4 linked regions of the Yarrowia lipolytica genome follow. Each later gene encodes a partner of the first gene's protein in a complex. Links are inferred from orthologs where the notes say so. Each region holds a gene or a part of one and is shown on either strand. Other genes may lie near its edges. The genes, in order: YALI1_D07124g, YALI1_E07306g, YALI1_D13790g and YALI1_B19567g.

What was found.
Region 2: YALI1_D07124g (region 1) and YALI1_E07306g share a complex: the UniProt entries of both Schizosaccharomyces pombe proteins name them as parts of the RNA exosome complex. The link is inferred for Yarrowia lipolytica from reciprocal best matches to the Schizosaccharomyces pombe genes rrp4 and mtr3.
Region 3: YALI1_D07124g (region 1) and YALI1_D13790g share a complex: the UniProt entries of both Schizosaccharomyces pombe proteins name them as parts of the RNA exosome complex. The link is inferred for Yarrowia lipolytica from reciprocal best matches to the Schizosaccharomyces pombe genes rrp4 and rrp42.
Region 4: YALI1_D07124g (region 1) and YALI1_B19567g share a complex: the UniProt entries of both Schizosaccharomyces pombe proteins name them as parts of the RNA exosome complex. The link is inferred for Yarrowia lipolytica from reciprocal best matches to the Schizosaccharomyces pombe genes rrp4 and rrp43.

The regions. Positions count from the first base shown.
Region 1 is NC_090773.1:709,762-714,764, reverse strand, and holds YALI1_D07124g (uncharacterized protein), read right to left. Parts: upstream 2,344-5,003; coding exon 1,342-2,343; downstream 1-1,341. Other genes in the region: YALI1_D07149g (uncharacterized protein), read left to right, coding at 1-919; YALI1_D07118g (uncharacterized protein), read left to right, coding at 2,932-4,458. UniProt on the Schizosaccharomyces pombe protein: Non-catalytic component of the RNA exosome complex which has 3'->5' exoribonuclease activity and participates in a multitude of cellular RNA processing and degradation events.
Region 2 is NC_090774.1:728,062-732,634, reverse strand, and holds YALI1_E07306g (uncharacterized protein), read right to left. Parts: upstream 1,976-4,573; coding exon 1,187-1,975; downstream 1-1,186. Other genes in the region: YALI1_E07347g (uncharacterized protein), read left to right, coding at 1-718; YALI1_E07302g (uncharacterized protein), read left to right, coding at 2,374-4,573. UniProt on the Schizosaccharomyces pombe protein: Non-catalytic component of the RNA exosome complex which has 3'->5' exoribonuclease activity and participates in a multitude of cellular RNA processing and degradation events.
Region 3 is NC_090773.1:1,376,656-1,381,281, forward strand, and holds YALI1_D13790g (uncharacterized protein), read left to right. Parts: upstream 1-2,405; coding exon 2,406-3,344; downstream 3,345-4,626. Other genes in the region: YALI1_D13788g (uncharacterized protein), read right to left, coding at 1-2,235. UniProt on the Schizosaccharomyces pombe protein: Non-catalytic component of the RNA exosome complex which has 3'->5' exoribonuclease activity and participates in a multitude of cellular RNA processing and degradation events.
Region 4 is NC_090771.1:1,954,650-1,959,465, reverse strand, and holds YALI1_B19567g (uncharacterized protein), read left to right. Parts: upstream 1-2,696; coding exon 2,697-3,665; downstream 3,666-4,816. Other genes in the region: YALI1_B19576g (uncharacterized protein), read right to left, coding at 904-1,839; YALI1_B19520g (uncharacterized protein), read right to left, coding at 3,825-4,816. UniProt on the Schizosaccharomyces pombe protein: Non-catalytic component of the RNA exosome complex which has 3'->5' exoribonuclease activity and participates in a multitude of cellular RNA processing and degradation events.

The sequences.
Region 1 (5,003 bases):
CAAGGCCGAGCAGGAGCGCCAGCAGGCCAAGGACGAGGCCGAGGAGAAAAACAAGCGACTCAAGAAGCTCGCCACGTTCTCCGTTCTCTTCACAGCCGCCATCGCCTACACCTGGCTTGTGGCCACCAAGCTGCCCGAGATCCAGAAAAAGGGCGAGGCCAAGCGGGAATTGCACAAGGGCCGAACTGACTTTGACCGAACCGAGACCGTGGCTGCTCCCCGAGACACCACCGAGTGTTACGATGCGCTGGCCAAGGTGTACGACGACAAGATGAAGTGGGAGGAGCGATGGGGTCTGATTTTCCGATGGAGACACAAGGTGGCCAAGGAGTTGGAGGGTGACGTGCTTGAAATGTCTTGCGGCACGGGCCGAAACATCGACTACCTGGACACCCGAAAGGTCAAGTCCATCACGTTTGTGGACTCTTCCCTGCCCATGCTTGAGGTGGCCGAGGAGAAGTTCCGAAAGGCCTTCCCTCGGTTTAAGCGGGTGCAGTTTGTGCAGGGCAAGGCCGAAAGCTGCTACGATCTGGCCAAGGACTCGGGAATGAAGTACGACGTGGTGTTTGAGACTTTTGGACTGTGTTCTCACGAAGACCCCGTCAAGGCTATCACCGAAATGAAGCAGCTGCTCAAGCCTGGAGGAAAGGTGGTGCTGCTGGAGCACGGCAAGTCCGCCTGGGAGTTCATCACCCGATACCTGGACAAGAAGGCCGACGAGCGAGCCAAAATCTGGGGTTGCAGATGGAACCTCGACATCCCTCAGATTGTGCGGGACAGTGGCATGACCGTGGTCAAGAACAAGACTGGTGGTTTCGGAACAAACCACCTGTACATTCTGGAGGTTCCCGAGGAGCCGAAGGTCGAGCCTGTCGTCAAGGTCGAGACCAAGGTTGAGACCAAGCCCGAACAGAAGTAATTGTATATATGTAAATAGTATCAAGGAATATACCTGATCGAGAGACTGTAGGGAAAGAAGGGCGTCAGGTAATGTAGATCGTGTCACATGATACAGCATGTGATCACAATATATCCCGAATGTGCTTACTGCAGTCCGAAGGAGTTTTGGACTACGACAAGTACATGCAATAGATCTCTCTCTCATCTACGAGTGTTTTCTTCGTCAGAAATGTACGTGCCATTGATTTAAAAAAGTACTTTATATCTGTAACTCTCCATGTCCAGAACATAAAACATACAATGCTAATCTTCATCTGTTATAAATACATTTATATCTGGCCCGTGTCCAGTCTTGCATGCAGAGCCACAGCCAGTGCTACTCCCTAGATGAGTCTCCGCTTCACACCCAACACTCAGGCTGTACCTTCAAAGGCATTATGTTCACGCAGCAATAGCCTTGGCAGCAATAATCTCCTTTGCCTCCTTATCAATCAAGTCTCCAGCACTAGGGTACACCAAACTGGCTTCGTAGGCAGCAATGACTCGATCTTCGGTGATACCAACCTCATTAGCAGCCAGAGCCTTGAAACAGTTGGCGTACCGCGCAATGTTCTCTCTGACAGACCGGGGAATGTCCTCGTTCTTGTCACTGTATGTCTCAGTCAAAGAGGCCTCTTCTTCCAGTCGAGTGATACTTGTGGTGTTCTCTCGAGTCAGGTGAGAATTGGCCCAGGCCATACATAGCCAGATCCAGCCATTGACTCCCACCACAGTGTCCACTCCGCCAGGCAGTTGGTGAACATGGCTCTTTGCACGCACAATCAGAGCGCTGGGCACAGTGATGAGAACTCCGTTACGCAGTTTACCGTACCGCAACGAACGGGTATGCAGAGCAGCAGATCCGTCCTGGTACAGCGACTGAACCTCTGTGTTGATGAGATCTCCTTCCTTGAGGAATCCTCGCATCTGCAGCTCGTCGGACTCCTGCTTTCGACGCAAAATACCTCCGGGCAGGTTAACGGAGCCCAGCTGAAGCACAGCCAGCTGCTTGGCGCCAATGTCGACCCGCCATCGCTTCACTCCCACGTCCACAATCCGTCCCACCACGTGGTCTCCGATCTGGGGTTGGTATCGGCCTCGCAGCGGTACCACACTCAGCAGCTTGTTGGTCTTGGTCACCACTCCAGCAGTGGATGAGAAGGTCTTGTTGCCCACCGAGTAGGTACCGTGGCCTCGCATCCAAATGGGGTCCTCTGTAATCAGCTTGCCGGGCGTCACCAGACCCGCAGCCACGTTTGCTGCCTGAGCATTGTCGTCCATATCTTCGTTTTCGTCGTCAGACATGACCATCTGCTCCTCGGCGTCCGAGTCGGCGTCCGAATACACCATTTCCACGTCTTCCTCCTCTCGGGGAGTCGCCTTTTGAATCGTCAAGATGGCCATTGTGTTGCACTTGTGGATGTAATAAGGGTGGTTTGATGGTGGATATGTGCCTGGGATATTTTTCTAAATCAAGGTTTGAGTGTGGCGAAGAGAAGGATATGAAGTGGGTGGAAAAACGGGGTATCGAGTATATTTACGGATTATTTGAAGATTGAATAAGACTCTAAGGAGAAATAATAATATATTTTTAATTTTCCCCGAACTTTTACGACTTATATTGAGCAGTTTTATTTTACCCAACTATTATGTAGACAAAATCGGTTCAAAATTCAGACAAAATCGATTTAAATTTCAGACAAAATCGGTTTAAATTTCAGATAAAATCGGTTTACTTCCAAAAGTGTATAAAATCATTTTTTAAGAGCATATAAAACAATATCACTATGAAAATTGATAGAAAAATCGAACTTGTTCTTTTCTGCAGAGATATATCAAATTCGACTCAGATTTCAATTATTTTCCATGAATTATTTCAACAACTTTTCATACCACATCAAACTAATTACTTAGGTGTATTATTCATTCACAATGCATCAGAACCTAATGCTGGATAAGAAGTTTTCAACATGCACGATTTTTTAGTCCTCTATGAAGTTCAACTTCTGGAAGGGTCTGTGGAAACCGAAATCTCTCACGCCGACTCTCTCACACCGTCTCTACCGCAGAATGTACACACCGCAACCCCCGTTGAACCGCGAAATGACGGTTTTGGACCGGTCCAAGTTCACCGTGTCTCTCAACCTGGCCCTGGCCAAGTTCCCTGATCCGAAATACATTGCGCAGTTCGCCAAGGAGTGCAAGGCCGACATTTTGCAGCTGCGAAGCATTAACCACGTTCAGAAGACGGACGACAATGGCCGGGCCGTTCTTCTGAGACACGATCTGGATCTCGAGGGAGGTGAAGATGTAGCCTCCAAGGTTATGAGCCAGCTGAGTCCCCGAGGAAAGGAGCTGCTGACCGAGGCCCAGGCAGATATTACCAAGATTGTGAAAGATCTCGACTACGACTTTTGGCGAGCCGACGAGATTTTCTACTCCGTGTTGCCAGTCACGGAGAAAGACGAGATTCCCAGTGGATTCTCCATGGTGGGACATGTGGCTCATCTCAACCTGCGGTCTGAATGGAAGGATTACGACCGACTCATTGGCCAGGTGATTCTCGATAAGAACCCCCGAGTCAAGACCGTGGTCAACAAGGTCGATTCTATCGACACGAAGTTCCGAACGTTCAAGATGGACGTTCTGGCCGGTGAAGATAACACCGAGGTGGAGCAGCATGAGAGTGGCTGCCGATTCCAGTTTGATTTCGCAAAGGTGTACTGGAACTCGCGACTGCATACCGAGCACGACCGGCTGGTCAGCCTGTTCAGAGGAGAGGCTTCTTCGCGTGAACGTAAGCAGCAGGAGCGAGCCAAGAGAGAGAACCACGAGAAGAGCACCGAAACCGCTGTCGAGCCCGACAACACACCTGCTACGGCTGTCTGTGACGTCTTTGCAGGCGTGGGTCCCTTTGCCGTTCCCTCAGGACGAACTTCTCTGTTTGTCATGGCTAACGATCTCAACCCTTACTCGTACGAGGCTCTGGAACATAATGTCAAGCTCAACAAGGTCTCCGAGTATGTCAAGTGCTTCAATCTCGACGGCGCAGAGTACGTGCAACAGAGCATGAAGCTGCTGGACGAACACAGAAGGACCCAGCCCACTATTAACCCTGTTCAGGTGCGAAAGCGAAAGGCCGGACAGCCCGTGGTCAAGCAAGACATTCCCAATCACTACAGCCACTACGTCATGAACTTGCCCGACTCGGCCATCGAGTTTCTGTGGTCTTTCAAGGGTCTGTACACGACTGTCGACGGTCTCTCCCAGGACACTCCTCTTCCTCATGTCCATGTTCATTGCTTCCACAAGTGGGAGGCTGGAGAAGAAGAGCCCTCCAAGGAGGAGACCAAGGCTGCTCTTTTGGAGCGGGTGTACAAGCAGATCGACGTGCGACTGGACCCCAACGAGGTTGGAATGCATTGGGTTCGAAAGGTGTCTCCCAAGAAGGACATGTTTTGCATTTCTTTCGAGCTGCCCAAGGAGGTTGCATGGGCCCCTCAGGTTAACAAGGAGTAAATGTATATATATGTATTATAATGGTAATGACGGCGATGAATTTGCAGAAGTACTCAGGACAGTTCTTTCGTGAGTGGGTGATTTTTCTTGATTTTTTCGATTTCTTGATTTTTTCGATTTCTTGATTTTTTCGATTTTCTTGATTTTCCCATTATTCGATTTTCCCCATTATTCGATTTTCCCCATTATTCGATTTTTCATTTTTATGCCGAAATACGAGTATTGTACCACTGGCACCATAAATACAAACCATTCATGACTCCCACAGACCTGGACCAAAGACATCGTACTTGTATCTGAACTCACGACTTCATTATTGCTTGTACCCGTCCTCATACCTCTCCCTCCGCTCCGTCTCCCTCCACCATTACTAAGCAACAAGGGCCAATTGTGTCGGAGCTTTCTGCTGACCAAAACTCTCCCTCTTGCCAACTTCTCCAATCAAAAAGATGATTTTGCAAGATGTCATTGCCAACACTAGCTTTTAGAGTTGGTCTGGAGGGCTACACAACATCCGGTAGCGATGCATCCATGTCCGAAAATTT
Region 2 (4,573 bases), on another chromosome or scaffold:
TGCCAAACTTACCCTTACTCGAATGCTGGATGTTCCCGAAAACATTGACACTGCCGATTACTCTGTGAAGCTCGTGGGCGGCGAGAAGTGTGCCGATTCCAACCGAATTTCGTACGCCTTTGGAACCCCCATTCATGTCAAGTGGCAGGCTTCTCCCAACAGATCGGCAAAGGACTGGATCGGTCTGTACCGAGTGCACGACAACACTTCCCCTGAGGTGACTTCTCTTCCCTCCAAGGGCCGATGGTCTGGAATCGACGAGACTGGCCATGAGTCGCATCTCGACGGTATTGTGTCGTCTTCTAAGACCAATGGAGAAGTTGTTTTCCGAGGGGACACACTCTTCTGGGAGTGTGGAGTCTACGAGTTCAGATACCACCATGCTGGCAAGCACACTGTGCTCAGCACCTCGGAACCTTTCGAGATTGTGGCTCCTAAGATTGATCTATCTGGAGAGGTGGATGCAAAGACTCTGGCTCTTGAGATCCTCCCCATCGTCCAGCGATGCTTCTCTCTATCTATGGAGTTCCCTCCTGAGGAAGTGGACGACTACTGGGCTCTTGAGGAACCCAAGGTGATCAACAGAGTGCAGGCTGCCGTTCAGGCGTATTTCAACGTTGAGCTGGCGCAGGAGGTGCTTCAATCGGATGAGTCTGTGGAGAATTTGGCTGAGCGACTGCTCAGAATTAGAGACGCCCTTAAAGGTCTTACTGTATAAAGGAGGAGAATGAATATGTATGAATAGATTGAAAATTGTTTGCAGAGAGCATATCTGGAAGAACGTGTGTGTGTGTGTGTGTGTGTGTCAACAAATATCGGATCAAGTGAAGAGCACAAACCAGAGTTGCGAGTGACGTGTAATTCTGGGCCACGGGCTACAGACCTTGACGTAGGGGTCTATAGTAGATAGAATGGTGATGACAGTACATTGATTGACCGCAATTGACACTTACAACTACGTAACATGTAATGTTCAATGCGTTATCTATGTAATATTATGTACCCGTAGTTTGGTTGGTTGTGTTTTAAACGCGACATCAAGCACCCTAGCTGCTGTATGACTCTGTGCACTCCTCCATTCACGTGGTCGGTGAACCATTCTATCGGTGAGGATACTTATGACACCCTCAGTATGTTGTGCCACTAAGTTTTCCACGCATGCTCACAGACTCATTCCAGTCATTCCTTATTGCTCCAACAAAACTCCATGCATGACTCCTCTGATCTCCCGGGCCATCTCCTCGGTCTTGTCGAAAATCTCCTCCATCTGCTTCTCGCTCACGTTACCGCCTTCAATCCACATGCCCACAATCTTCTTGCTTGCTGCCATGTAGGATACTACTCCGTCAATCTCGCTGGTAGGTGCTCTTGAGGGCGACACAGTTGCCTTGTTCTCATCGAGCAGCACACTTCCTGCTGTCACAATATCGGTGCACTCGAGACCGGAATCGGCCAGAGCGGCGCCAGCGCACGAAACTGCGGCAGCCACGGTGGTCTTGGTATTATTGGAAGAAGACAGAACTGATATGCTGACATCGATGGTGGACTTGGGGTACTTCTCGACCAATATGCTGGGCAGGAGAGAGGTGTGGACGTACGATGAAACGTTCTTCTGCAGAGAAGAGCTCTGTGTGGTGCTGGCAGATCGAATGTATTGGGTCAGCTGGGTGGAGCTAACCACAGCACTCTTACTCTCAATATCGCAGAGAGAGACAGGGAGAAATTTTGTGTCCACGTTCAGGATGGCCGATGTTGTGAACAGACCTCTCATAGGTCGAGGACCATGGACAATGGCCACAATTTTGATATCATCCAGCTCCAAGTAGGCCGATCCGTTTGCGTTTTCGACCACTCCGGTCTTGACGAAGATGCTGCCGATATCCAGGCTTTTCTGCTCAACCTCGGTCGGCTTGATGTTGTCCAGGGTGAATGGCACCGCGTCAGCAGGCCCCAAAACTCGTCTTCGGTCAGTCATAGTGTTGTGTGGTTGATAGTGAAACTCACAAATAAATTTCTGCACGATGTTGGTGCAGGCGTGGTTAGCGTTGGGAGCGAAGTTTATTTGGTAGATAGCTAATTACGTAAGCTGCGGGTGACCTGATTTTGATACAGCGTGGTGGTGCTGACTAAAGACTTCTAATACGACAAACATGTAGCAAACGAAGATAGCAAATCAATTGGTAAGCAACTAAAAGGCCCTTATGACTCAACCTTAAACCCAAACCTCCCTTTCTCTATATATAATGTCCTCAATTATTCATTGCTCCACATTATCTCCGTTTACCCTAACCCAACATCAAGGTTGACGACACTTAGTTCCACACGATTCCTTGCCACAGTTCAATCTACACTTACACAACTACCACTTTTGCAATGTCAGACAAGTCAGACAAGATGCAAATCGACAACGCAGGCGAAATTGATGAGTCCCTGTACTCGCGACAGCTCTATGTGCTTGGACACGAGGCCATGAAGAAGATGGCCAACTCCAACGTTCTTATCGTGGGTCTCCAGGGTCTGGGAATTGAGATTGCCAAGAACATTGTTCTGGCTGGAGTCAAGTCGCTGACTCTGTATGACCCCGGCAAGACCGAGGTTGCAGATCTCAGTGCCCAGTTTTTCCTGCGAGAGGACGACGTGGGCAAGCGACGAGACCAGGTGTCTCAGCCTCGACTGGCAGAGCTCAATTCGTACGTTCCTGTGCACGTTTTGGAGGCCAAGGATCTCTCCGAGGAGGAGGTGGCTCGATTCCAGGTGGTTGTGCTGACCAATGCTTCTCTAGAAGAACAGATTCGAGTCAACGAAATCACACACAAGCAGAATATTGGGTTTGTCAGCACAGACACCCGAGGTCTTTTCGGTAACATCTTTGTCGATTTTGGCTCATCTTTTGCTCTGATTGACGCCAACGGAGAGGAGCCCCATTCCGGAATCATTGCCGGTATTGACGAGGAGGGTAACGTTGCTGCTCTCGATGAGACTCGACACAACCTTGAGGATGGAGATTATGTTAAGTTCACTGAGGTCGAGGGTCTCGATATCAACGGTGACACTCCCCGAAAGATCAAGGTCACAGGTCCTTATTCGTTCAATATTGGTTCTGTTGACGGTCTGGGCACCTACAAGAAGGGAGGTCTTTTCACCCAGGTCAAGATGCCCCAGGAGATTTCGTTTGGTTCGCTCAAGGAGCAGCTGGCCAAGCCCGAGTTACTGATTTCCGACTTCGCCAAGATGGAGCGACCCGCACAGCTACATGTCGGCTTCATGGCCGTCCAGGCGTTCCAGCAGAAGCACGGTCGAGCCCCCCGACCTCAGAATACCGAGGACGCCAACGAGGTGCTGCACCTGGCCAAGAGCGTCACTGCAGAGTACCCCGACGTGCTTTCTGGAGGCGAAATCGACGAAAAGCTGCTCACCCAGCTGTCTTTCCAGGCCGCTGGTGAACTGCCCGCCATGACTGCTCTCTTTGGTGGAATGGCTGCCCAGGAGGTACTGAAGGGCTGCTCGGGCAAGTTTGGCCCCATCCGACAGTGGGTCTACTTCGACTCTTTGGAGTCTCTGCCCAAGGACGTGGCTCTAACTGAGCAGTCTGTGGCTCCCACCGGCTCGCGATATGACCGACAGGTTGCCGTCTTTGGTAAGGAGTTCACCGAGAAGATTTTTGCTGTTAAGACTTTCCTGGTTGGCTCTGGAGCCATCGGTTGCGAGATGCTTAAGAACTGGGCTCTCATGGGTCTTGGAAAGGACGGAGAGATCCACGTGACCGATAACGACGTGATTGAGAAGTCCAACCTTAACCGACAGTTTCTGTTCCGACCCAAGGATGTGGGCAAACACAAGTCCGTGACCGCTACCGAGGCTGTGGCAGAGATGAACCCTGATCTCAAGGGCCACTTTGATGCCAAGCTCGACAAGGTCGGTCCCGATACCGAGAACATCTTCGACGACTCGTTCTGGAAGTCTCTGGACTTTGTGACTAACGCTCTGGACAACGTTGACGCCCGAACCTACGTCGATCGACGATGTGTCTTTTTCCAGAAGCCTCTGCTCGAGTCAGGAACCCTGGGAACCAAGGGTAACGTGCAGGTTGTCTACCCCAACCTGACTGAATCGTACTCTTCCTCCCAGGATCCCCCTGAGAAGGGCATTCCCCTCTGTACTCTGCGATCTTTCCCTAATAAGGTTGACCACACGATTGCCTGGGCCAAATCCATCTTCCAGGGCTACTTTACCGACAATGTTGAGTCTGTGAATCTGTTTCTGAGCCAGCCCAATTTTGTGGAGTCCACCCTCAAGCAGACTGGTGACCAGAAGTCTATTCTGGAGAACATCAAGTCGTACCTGGTGGACGAACGACCTACGACTTTCAAGGAGTGTGTCCAGTGGGCCCGTCTGGAGTTTGAGAAGAAGTTCAACGGCGACATTAGTCAGCTTCTGTACAACTTCCCCAAGGACGCCACCACTTCTACTGGTGCTCCTTTCTGGTCTGGACCTAAGCGAGCTCCTGACGCTCTCGAATTTGATTTCAACAACCAGGACCATCTGGATTTTCTCATTGCTGGCGCTAATCTGC
Region 3 (4,626 bases), about 670 kb from region 1:
ATCTTGGATGACCGAGCAGGTCTTCTCGTCGGCAGCATCGAGCTGCTCAACCACTCTGTAGATGCAAGCAACAATAGCGTAGCGAGACTCACACGAAGAAGCCACGGAGTAGTTGAGAGTAGCAAAGTTGATCACGTCCACCGGCTCGGTGACCCTGTGATGAGCAAGAGTAGTGTTGAGACAGTCGAATTTCGCAGCAATGAGGTTGTTCAACGACTGGATAGTCTGGTCAGTCTTCAGGTCTCGCGAAACAATGTGCGAAGACTTGAGGTACTCGAACGTGTTGGCAAAGTCTCCCTTTCCGTTCTTGATGTTGAGAGCAGCCAGAAGAGTGAGCTGAGCAGCAGTCAGATCCATATCGTCAGGGAACTTCAACTTTTCGAGCCGAATTTCGATGGAATCGGTGTTAGTTTCCGAAAGATTGGACTTTGCAAGTGCCTGGGTGGCTTGGATAGATGAGAGGATGGAATCGTCAACTGAGACTGTAGGGACGCCAGTAAGACCCATGTTCTTCAGGCCCAGAGAAACACCCACAGGAAGGAGATTGAGCTGAGCAGCGGCCTCGTCAACATTGCAGGTCTCACAAGAACCGTACAGGTAGACAGCATACGTGGACAGATCCTCAATCGACTTTCGCAGCTCGGCATCTGGAGTGAGCTTGAAGTTGAGACCAGTCATGATAGTCTCGAGGGTAACCAGCTGAGACAGAAGCTTGAGAACTCGCAGAGATTGGCCGAAATGGAGGCAAATTCTAGCCAGGTACAGCTTCTGCAGTTTTCGTCGGACACCTGTCTCGGACGTGAGCAGCAGCATGGGAGCAAAGGCGTCCAATGCTGCGTCGCTCAGCTGGAACTCTGTGGCCTTGAGTCCAGACATGACGCCTGCTAGTGCGTAGATCTTGGAGGGGTCGAATCCTTCTCTCAGAATGTTGAGCAGCTTGAAGATGCAGATGGTTAGCGCTTCGATTCGAGACTTGTCAAAAGTGGTGTAGAGACCCTCGATAAAGGTCTCCAGAGTATCACCGTAGATGCAAACATTCTGATCGTCGTGTCTAGCAGTCTGGAAATGGGTAGCTTCGAGAAGATAAGGCAGCAGCTTGGATTCCAAGAAAGGGATGTCATGCTGAAAGACAACCAGAGAAGCAATTGGCAGAGCAAGAACAACCTTGGCCATGTACTTCCGCACGGTGTCCATGGTAGCATTGAGTCCCATGGCAATGAGAGCGATACCCCAACGAGGAGCAAGCTTGCATTCTGGCCCGAGGAACATGAGAATATCTCCCTCACAGGCCACCGTCTGGTTGTAGGAAGAGTCAATGGCGATGATCTCGGTGAGAGTAGCAAAACGTTTCCATTGCTCTAGCAGAACATCTCTGTCGGTTGTGGACCACTGCATGCTTTCCAGAGAAATGTCGCTGACAATATGCTGGACAGATCTTGAGATGATGTACAGGGCCAGCTTCTTGTGGTCGTAGGAGGTAGTCTTAAGAGGCCTGAGGAGACAGGCCCAGTAAAGGTCAGTCTTGAAGAGCGACTGGAAAGTCTCGGACTCGAGGGTAGCAGAGTCACATGCACTCAGCCACCACAGCCACAGCTTGTATCCCACGGTCTTGTGGTCGTCCAGGGACGAGTTGACGAGATCGGAGACAATGGTCCACAGATACGACGCCAGGGCGCTTGTAGCTACATTGGTCATTCTCAGTTTGAGAAGCACGGCAGCAGAATGGACCAGATCAGAGTCAGACAGACAGACAACATGGAGAAGCAGAGAGTCCAGCTGTGGGTTACCCAGGTCGTTGTTGAGCAGAAGAGATTGTAGGAACTTGAGAGATACTGCGGCGGTCTCAACGTCAACAGATCCGCCAGAATTCGACTCCTCCACAGCAGGCAGATCCGCATTTACCAGGTAGTTGAGATGAGGTTGGGACACATATGATCTCAGGTTGTTGTATGCATGGTCAAAGAGCAGCCTGGAGAGCAGAGGGATCTGACTCGAGACCAGGGTGATTGATTCCGAGCATGTACCAATCGACTCGGCGCACTTATCGGCCACATTGGCCACCTTTTCCTGGAACACCTGGGGTGTCAAGATCTCTTCCAGCAGCTGGAGGTCCTTGGCCTGGTTCACCAGGTCAGCCGACACGGAGGGACCGATCGCCCCGACCAGGCGGTCGGTGAGTTCATCCGCGTGTTTCCCCAGCGTGTGCTGATCCAGTTTTTTGAGCAGATCCAGCATCGGTTTTTGTGATATGACGTTTTGAATCAGCACTACCAAAAAATTTAGAAAGTTCCAAATTAAGCTTCCACCTTCATGCACAATTATTTTTCCACTATCGCCATCCACCCTCAGCTTAAAAAATTTAAGGCGTATACAACACCGCACACGCTACACATAATATCCACACGATGCCCTTCTCGCCAGCAGAAATCGACTATCTCCGCAAATCGCTCCAGGCCACGCCCACGATCCGACCAGACGCCCGAGAGCCCAACCAATTCCGGCCGGTGGATGCAGCGCAGAACTTTTTGCCAGCAACAAACGGATCAGCCCGAATAAGAACGTCGGACGGAGGCGAATGCATTGTGGGAGTCAAGGCCAAGGTGGTGAAGAACTCGTCCGTGGACGAACTGATTGCCGTGGAGGTGGATATTGACGATATCAGAGATGACAGTCCCTTGCCCAAGCTGCTGTCTGCCGTACTGCAGACGCTCATTCTTTCCAGCATTGACACAAACCGGCTTCGTCTGACCCGGTCCAATTATGCTTTCAAGCTACATATTGACGCGTTGGTGCTGTCGCACACCTCGTTTCCTCTGAACTTGGTGTCTCTGGCCATTTTCCTGGCTCTCAAATGCACACGTCTTCCTCTTCTGGTGTCCTCAGCCAATGACGAGGAGCACGAGGAGGTCCCTGTATTTTCCGACGACTGGGAGGAGTCTCTGGCGCTCTGTGGAGGCGAGATTCTGGCCAACAACTCCGGATCGGAGGCCATTTCGTGGACCCCGCCTCTGGTGTTTTCTCTGGCAGTGGTAGGGAACAACATTCTCGTCGATCCCACCCACGAAGAGGAGTCTGTGTCTGACCTTGGCCTCATCATGGGCTGGTGCAACGGCCAGGTCTGCGCTCCTCTACGAATCATCGATCTTGCATCTGCTGGAGGCAACGTGTCTCCCGAGCAGCTTAGCCAGCAACAGAGCATGCTGGAGCAGGGCATCGACCTGAACATGAAGGGTACTTCGCGAAAGCTCATCATGAAGGCCTACTCTCTGCTTACCAACACCGCTCCCGAGGTTGTTGCTGCGCTCGACGCCACTGCTGACGAGGAGGATGGTGCTTTGTTCTAAGCACCTGGAAAGAAAGGATGAGCCTTTACACATATACACAATGCTTGTGCACGACTGTATTAGATTTCATTGGTCGTGTCATACAAGTGACCACAGCTTTGCACATAATGTATTTTGATATTGAACAGTACGTACAGTACACTACAGAATGTACAAGTACCTGTAGCAGATGATATGTACTCATCACTTTACTGATTCGCCCTAGAGCAGCTAAGATGATTCAATGAACAATTCATACAACGGATTACATCAACTTCACTGTGGATACCGTTTGATAACGGCACCTGAGTCTATCCGCGGGTGTCTAGATGATGATGACAGTGGGAGTCACTATCAACGGATAAATTCCATCCAGTGAGTAATTAATGGAAATTCTTTGGCATCCCACATGTTCCAGAAAGCTTTCATTGTTGTATTATTTCCTTTGATATCTTTCAAGTGACTTCAAGCAGCTCCCTGTCGTATGATGTCGAGACTTGGCCATGTTAGCTCTTTAACAAACGAACCCCGATATCTAACTAATATATGTATGAGATAGTTGTATGGGTGAATGACTCTGGCCATGAAACATCACACAAGACGACTTTCTCTCTACAATATTGCCCAGATGTCCAAGGTACGATACAAGCTCCGCTTACATACATTATCCCATGTGAGACATTACCCCTCCATCAAGCCGGTAGTTTCATAGCACATGCTAAATACTTCCGTATGTACATACTGTAGATGTCTCATGGTTGAGGTAGATGTCATGCAGTTGGAGAGTGCAATAAGCAGCGTGCACTGTACAAGACACTGTAGAGGGGGCTCGTGATCCTTTTTTTTCGGAGATTGATTCTTGTTACAACTACGATCCAAGTAGGCGGCATTATTATTCTCGGTTGCGTCTTTCCGACTGGTCATTTTGTGGAGCCAAAAAGTTTCACCACATTATCACACTGCTTCACTTCTGTTTTGCCACATTTTTAGTGTGCGTGCCCAAGCACGTGTGCCATCAATTTGGCTACAAGTGTGCAGAGATTGTGCATGCCAACGCTACCAGGGCCTATGGTATTCAGGGCAACGGCAACGGGTTGGGACAAGGTACAGTAAGGTGACAATGACAAATTAGGGTCTGTACATCTGGTGCAAATCTTGGAGAACGCGTTTTAGCGCTCCGCTCTCATTGGCACCCGGGAGGCCCTTTTGACACGGAAAAGCCACGTAGATCGGGGTGTCTGTCAAAAAGGTCGCAGCCCATGCAAAAACCTGCCACCCTCGCTCCGCATGCAACCACAGAGCA
Region 4 (4,816 bases), on another chromosome or scaffold:
CTAAGGAAAAGATCGAGATATTGGGTAATCCTACTTTGTTTAGTCTCTACACGGGCAACTTCTGGGGTCGTTTATTGTCCTATTCTCTTGGAAGGAGACGCTACTTGTTCTTCGTTCAGATCTAAGCACTGTCATCAGCCATACGAGCAGTCTAAGAAACTACTGTAGTTATACTAACGAGGTTGATGAATTCAGTAGACACCGGCGACTATTGAGTCTCATATCTTTTATTACTCGTCCATGTACTTTGATCTCCCTCACAATTTTCTCCCTCAGTTCCACCGAAGGTTGAAGTTGAGCTGCATCCTTGCATAAAGATACAGATCGAGAAATATCCCAACAGGATGATGTACAGTAATGTTCAGTACAAGGACTGGTACAAGTACATGATGTAGTCGGTTATATTACTTCATGAACGTCAGAGCAAGCCTCAAGATCTTCGTTCATCCACTGCCAGTACAGTAGGAGTAGAGGTAACTACTTGCATACATACCTCTCTACATACTGTAGAGGTAGGTATGACCAACCAATGACAAGCACTTAGCCTAAAAAAAGAACACTACAAAAAAATTGCAGCACCTACTGTAGGATTCTCGTATGGTCTCCCACTACAATACTAACTAGGCTCTCTGGTGCTTGACTATGGCTGATCGGACGGGAAGCCGTATTTTCACCAGGATATGGCTGCAACTGGCCGGTAACTCGGCTGCTTAGTCACCGTTGCAAGGTCATTGTGTAACCTTGGGAAATGTAGAATAAAAATAAAAAAACTAGTAATGGATCATAAGAATAAAACAAAAAGCTATACTTGTACCTGAATGACTAGATTATACAGTTATGTGTTCCCTCGATTTTACCAACCATGGATTCATTATATTTCATTTTTATTAGTCTAAAATGTGCTTAAAGCTCATGATCGTAAGGGATACCCTCAGCAGCACCTCGTCGAGTGACAGCAATACCACCAGCCTTGTTTCCGAAAGCAATGGCCTCGGAGACTGTCTTTCCCTGGATAATGCTAGTGGAGAAACCTCCAAGGAAAGTGTCTCCAGCACCAGTAGTATCGACAATCTTCTCGACCTTGTTAGAAGGAACATGTCCAGAATCAGTCTTGGTCTTGTAAATGACACCGTTACCTCCCAGAGTGACAACAACGGCCTCCTTGATTCCCATCTTGAACAGGGTATCCGCAGCTTGGTCAGCTTGTTTCCAGATCTCCTCCTTCGATGCCTCCTCGTTGATTTCGACGCCAGAGATGAGAGTGGCTTCCGTCACATTGACCACGAGGAAATCTATGCTGTTGAGAACGGCGGCGGGGATGTTACCTCGCTCGTCCACAGGACTGGGGTTGTAGACCACTTTGGGCTTCTTAGATCCAGCCTTCTCGATGGCCTTGTAGACGATGTCGATGGGGATCTCGTTCTGGAAGATGAGCATGTCTGTGTCGAAGAGATCGTCAGTGAGATCGGCCTCAGTCCACTCGCCGTTGGCTCCGGCGTAGACCATGATTCGGTTCTCTCCAGAGTCTTGATCCACAAAGATGACAGCCACTCCAGACTTGGTGTCGAGCTCGTGGATGGCAGACACGTCCACGCCAGAATCCTTGAGGTTGTTTTTCAACTGAGTACCGAAGTTGTCTTTGCCGACCTTTCCGTACATCTTGACGTTCACATCAGGGACCTTGGAAGAGAGTCTGGCAGTAGCAAGAGCCTGGTTGGCTCCCTTACCTCCGCAGTGGGTCTCAAAGCCCTGGGAGAACATGGTCTCCCCAGCGTTGGGGAGTCTGTTGGAGATGGTGACAAGATCGTAGTTGAGCGAGCCGACAATTGTGATTTGCATGGTTGGTGATTTGGGGTCAGAAAGAGAGTTGTAGTTAAAGATAGGTGTTTAAATGAAATGTTTTTCCGAGAGTGAGCAAGGACCAAACTCAGGGATGCAGATGAGATGTGAGTGATGGAGGTTTAAAGTCTAAAATAGCACAGAGAGGGAAGAGTGACATCATAGGGTGCGAGCTGGAAAAAAAAATCAGAACATTTGGTTACTTGAGCGTTCTAACGTTGCAATATAAGACAGGTGATTCTATAAGTACATGTTAAGTCACGCCATGCACCCCACATTCTGTACAAGTATGTACATCCGTAACCGGCAGCCCATCGCTGGTCACTCCCAATAGCCGAGGAGTCATGCGATCACGTGGCTGTTTGAACATGAGAGTGACAATGTTGTCGTTCAAGGTATGAAATAGAGATGCCAGATATCCAGACCGGGCCCAAAAAGAACTGTAACAGCTACCGCCCTTGTCTTTATATTTCATAAGTGTCCTTTTTTTGCATAAGAGTCCAACGATGATGGCCCTAGACGTTCAAACTAAAATCCCACAAGTTTCAACTACTTCTTTCAAGGTTACTTGGAAAAGGTATTGTAATAATGGAGATATCTGAGAGCAGATTTCGAGTTTTTTGTTGTTGTTTTTTTTGAATAGACACATTCCAAGCACCCTCGATATTTTTATATTTTTTTGATCTCGGTTCTTCCGTTTCAATGTCAATATTATAACCATCATGTTGTTCAGTATGTACAGTATGTACACCCCTCACCTACACATGACGAGCCACAACTAAGTTTACGTCGAAAATATATTTCGTATCATGCACAACGCCTGAAGAATCTTTAATTTACACTGAACGACACACAACATGACGAATATGGAGCCAATCACATACCCTTCGGAGGTATTTTCGAGACTTGTGCCCGATCTATATCTACACAGACATCTCAACCAAGGATTGCGACCAGCTACAAACCGAGCCTTCACACAACACCGAAAGATCAACCACTTTTTGGGCGGTCTTAAGAAGCCCGTGGGATCCGACGAAAAGTCTGCGTCTCTGGTTTGGGGCTCTTCGTTGATCCAGGCCGATGGAATGAGTATTGTGTGTGGTGTTACCGGATCTGTGTCTGAGGAAGAGGGCGGAATCTTTGTTAACGTCGAGGTTCTGCGAGGAGCAAACGGAAGCAGTGCAGCAATGGGGGGGCCTCCCAGCGACGAGGAGCAGGTGGTGAGCCGAAAGACTACCGATCTGCTCAAAAAGGGCATTTTCTCCTGCAAGGCAAACAAACAATTCTTCGAGCTCCAGAACTTTCTGAAGGAGGGACAGGAAGACGAGGCCGTGTTTGACGCTGGCCAGCACCAGAAGCGATACCTGTGTTTGCATGCCAATGTGACTGTCCTGAGTCGTAACGGACCTGTGCAGGACTACGTATGGGCTGCTGTTCTGGCTGCTCTGAAGGATACAGAGATTCCTCTGATGGAGATTGATGAAGATACCGGACGAATCACTCTCACCCACGACTTTACCACAATTCCGGTCGACGACCTTGACATTCACAGCAGTCGGTCGTTCGGGTTCATCAAACCCAAGCCAGAGACTGATGCCTACGAAGACGACGAGATGGACACCTCTGAAGATGCTGCCAGTGTGCTGTTAGCAGATGTCCAAGGAGAGGTTGAGCAGGCTGCCACTTCCAGCACCCGTGAGGGCTCTCGGCTGCAGATTGTGCGTGGCCGGGAAGACACGCTTATTGGATTTTCTTTTGTGGGCAAGGGTACTGGAGTTGGACTCAACGAGATTAAGAACGCGTTGGATCTGTCGAAGCAAGAGTAGATGGATATAAGCATGTATAGACTAATTGGCGGAACTAATGGTACTATTGTATTGTGCTTGTGCTACATGTAGAAGAAGTCTATAGAATAGCATACGAGTGCAAACACTCGCGGATACAGTACTTGTTTTAGACATGATAAAAATACATTACTGGTGCTATCAATTGAGGTATCCCTTGCAGCCAGGTGCGCCACACAGACAGGGAATCCTCTCTTCTCCAATCTCCTTTTCGAACTTGTAGTCATATGTGAGCTCCTCGTTGGCAGCAATGTCCCGCGAGGCATAGATGACGATACGTTTTTGACCCTCCACCTTGATGATTTTGGCCGTGCAGCTGGGGGTACAGCAATGGTTGATGAACCGAGCAATACCTCCTCGCTTTGTGGCGTCCACGACAGTGCTTTCATCAACTCTGAACAGATATGAAGATCCGATACCTGACCTCATGTACCGAGCTTCTCGCAAGTCGGCAATCTCCTGTCGCACAACTTCTCCGACGTACTCGATGATCATCTCGTTGGCTGCAATGGGCTCAATAGCATAGAGACCCCAGTTGTGGATAGCTGAACGAGCGAACTTGACAGGCTTCTTTCGCTTTCGCAGCTGATTGAAGTTGAGCACATCGGTTTCGGTGGACAGCAGCTGTTTCTGCATGTTGATGTCTGCCACCAGCCTCCGGTTGTTGGCACGGTTAACTCGCGAGTTGGAGGCGTTCTCCTTCTTTTTCTCTCGGTTTTCCATTTGAAGCGTGTCGATGGGGATGTTGAGCTTCTTTCGGTGAGGCAGGTATTCGGATTTGGCAGCCTCAGGGATCTTGAAGTATCCCTGAGACTTCCATGAGCCAGTGGAGTTAACAAACGCGTTGGGAGCAGCCAGTTCGGGGAACTCTGCGTTTTCCTTGGCTACAGCCTCGTTGAGATGTTTATGGGTCCACGTCCATGCTTCTCCGTTGATCTTTTCAGGCTCAATACCCTCCAGGGCCTCCTGGAGCAACTCCATATCTTCGTCGTCCTTAACCAGCGCCTGGAAACCTGATATGGTAGTCAGAGCACCACCCTTTTTGTCGGCTGTTACAGGTTGAGGGAAACCGTGAGCAGGAGCCCAGTCGAGAATCTCGCCGAATGCAGTTGTAAGTTGTTGGGAAGTATCGA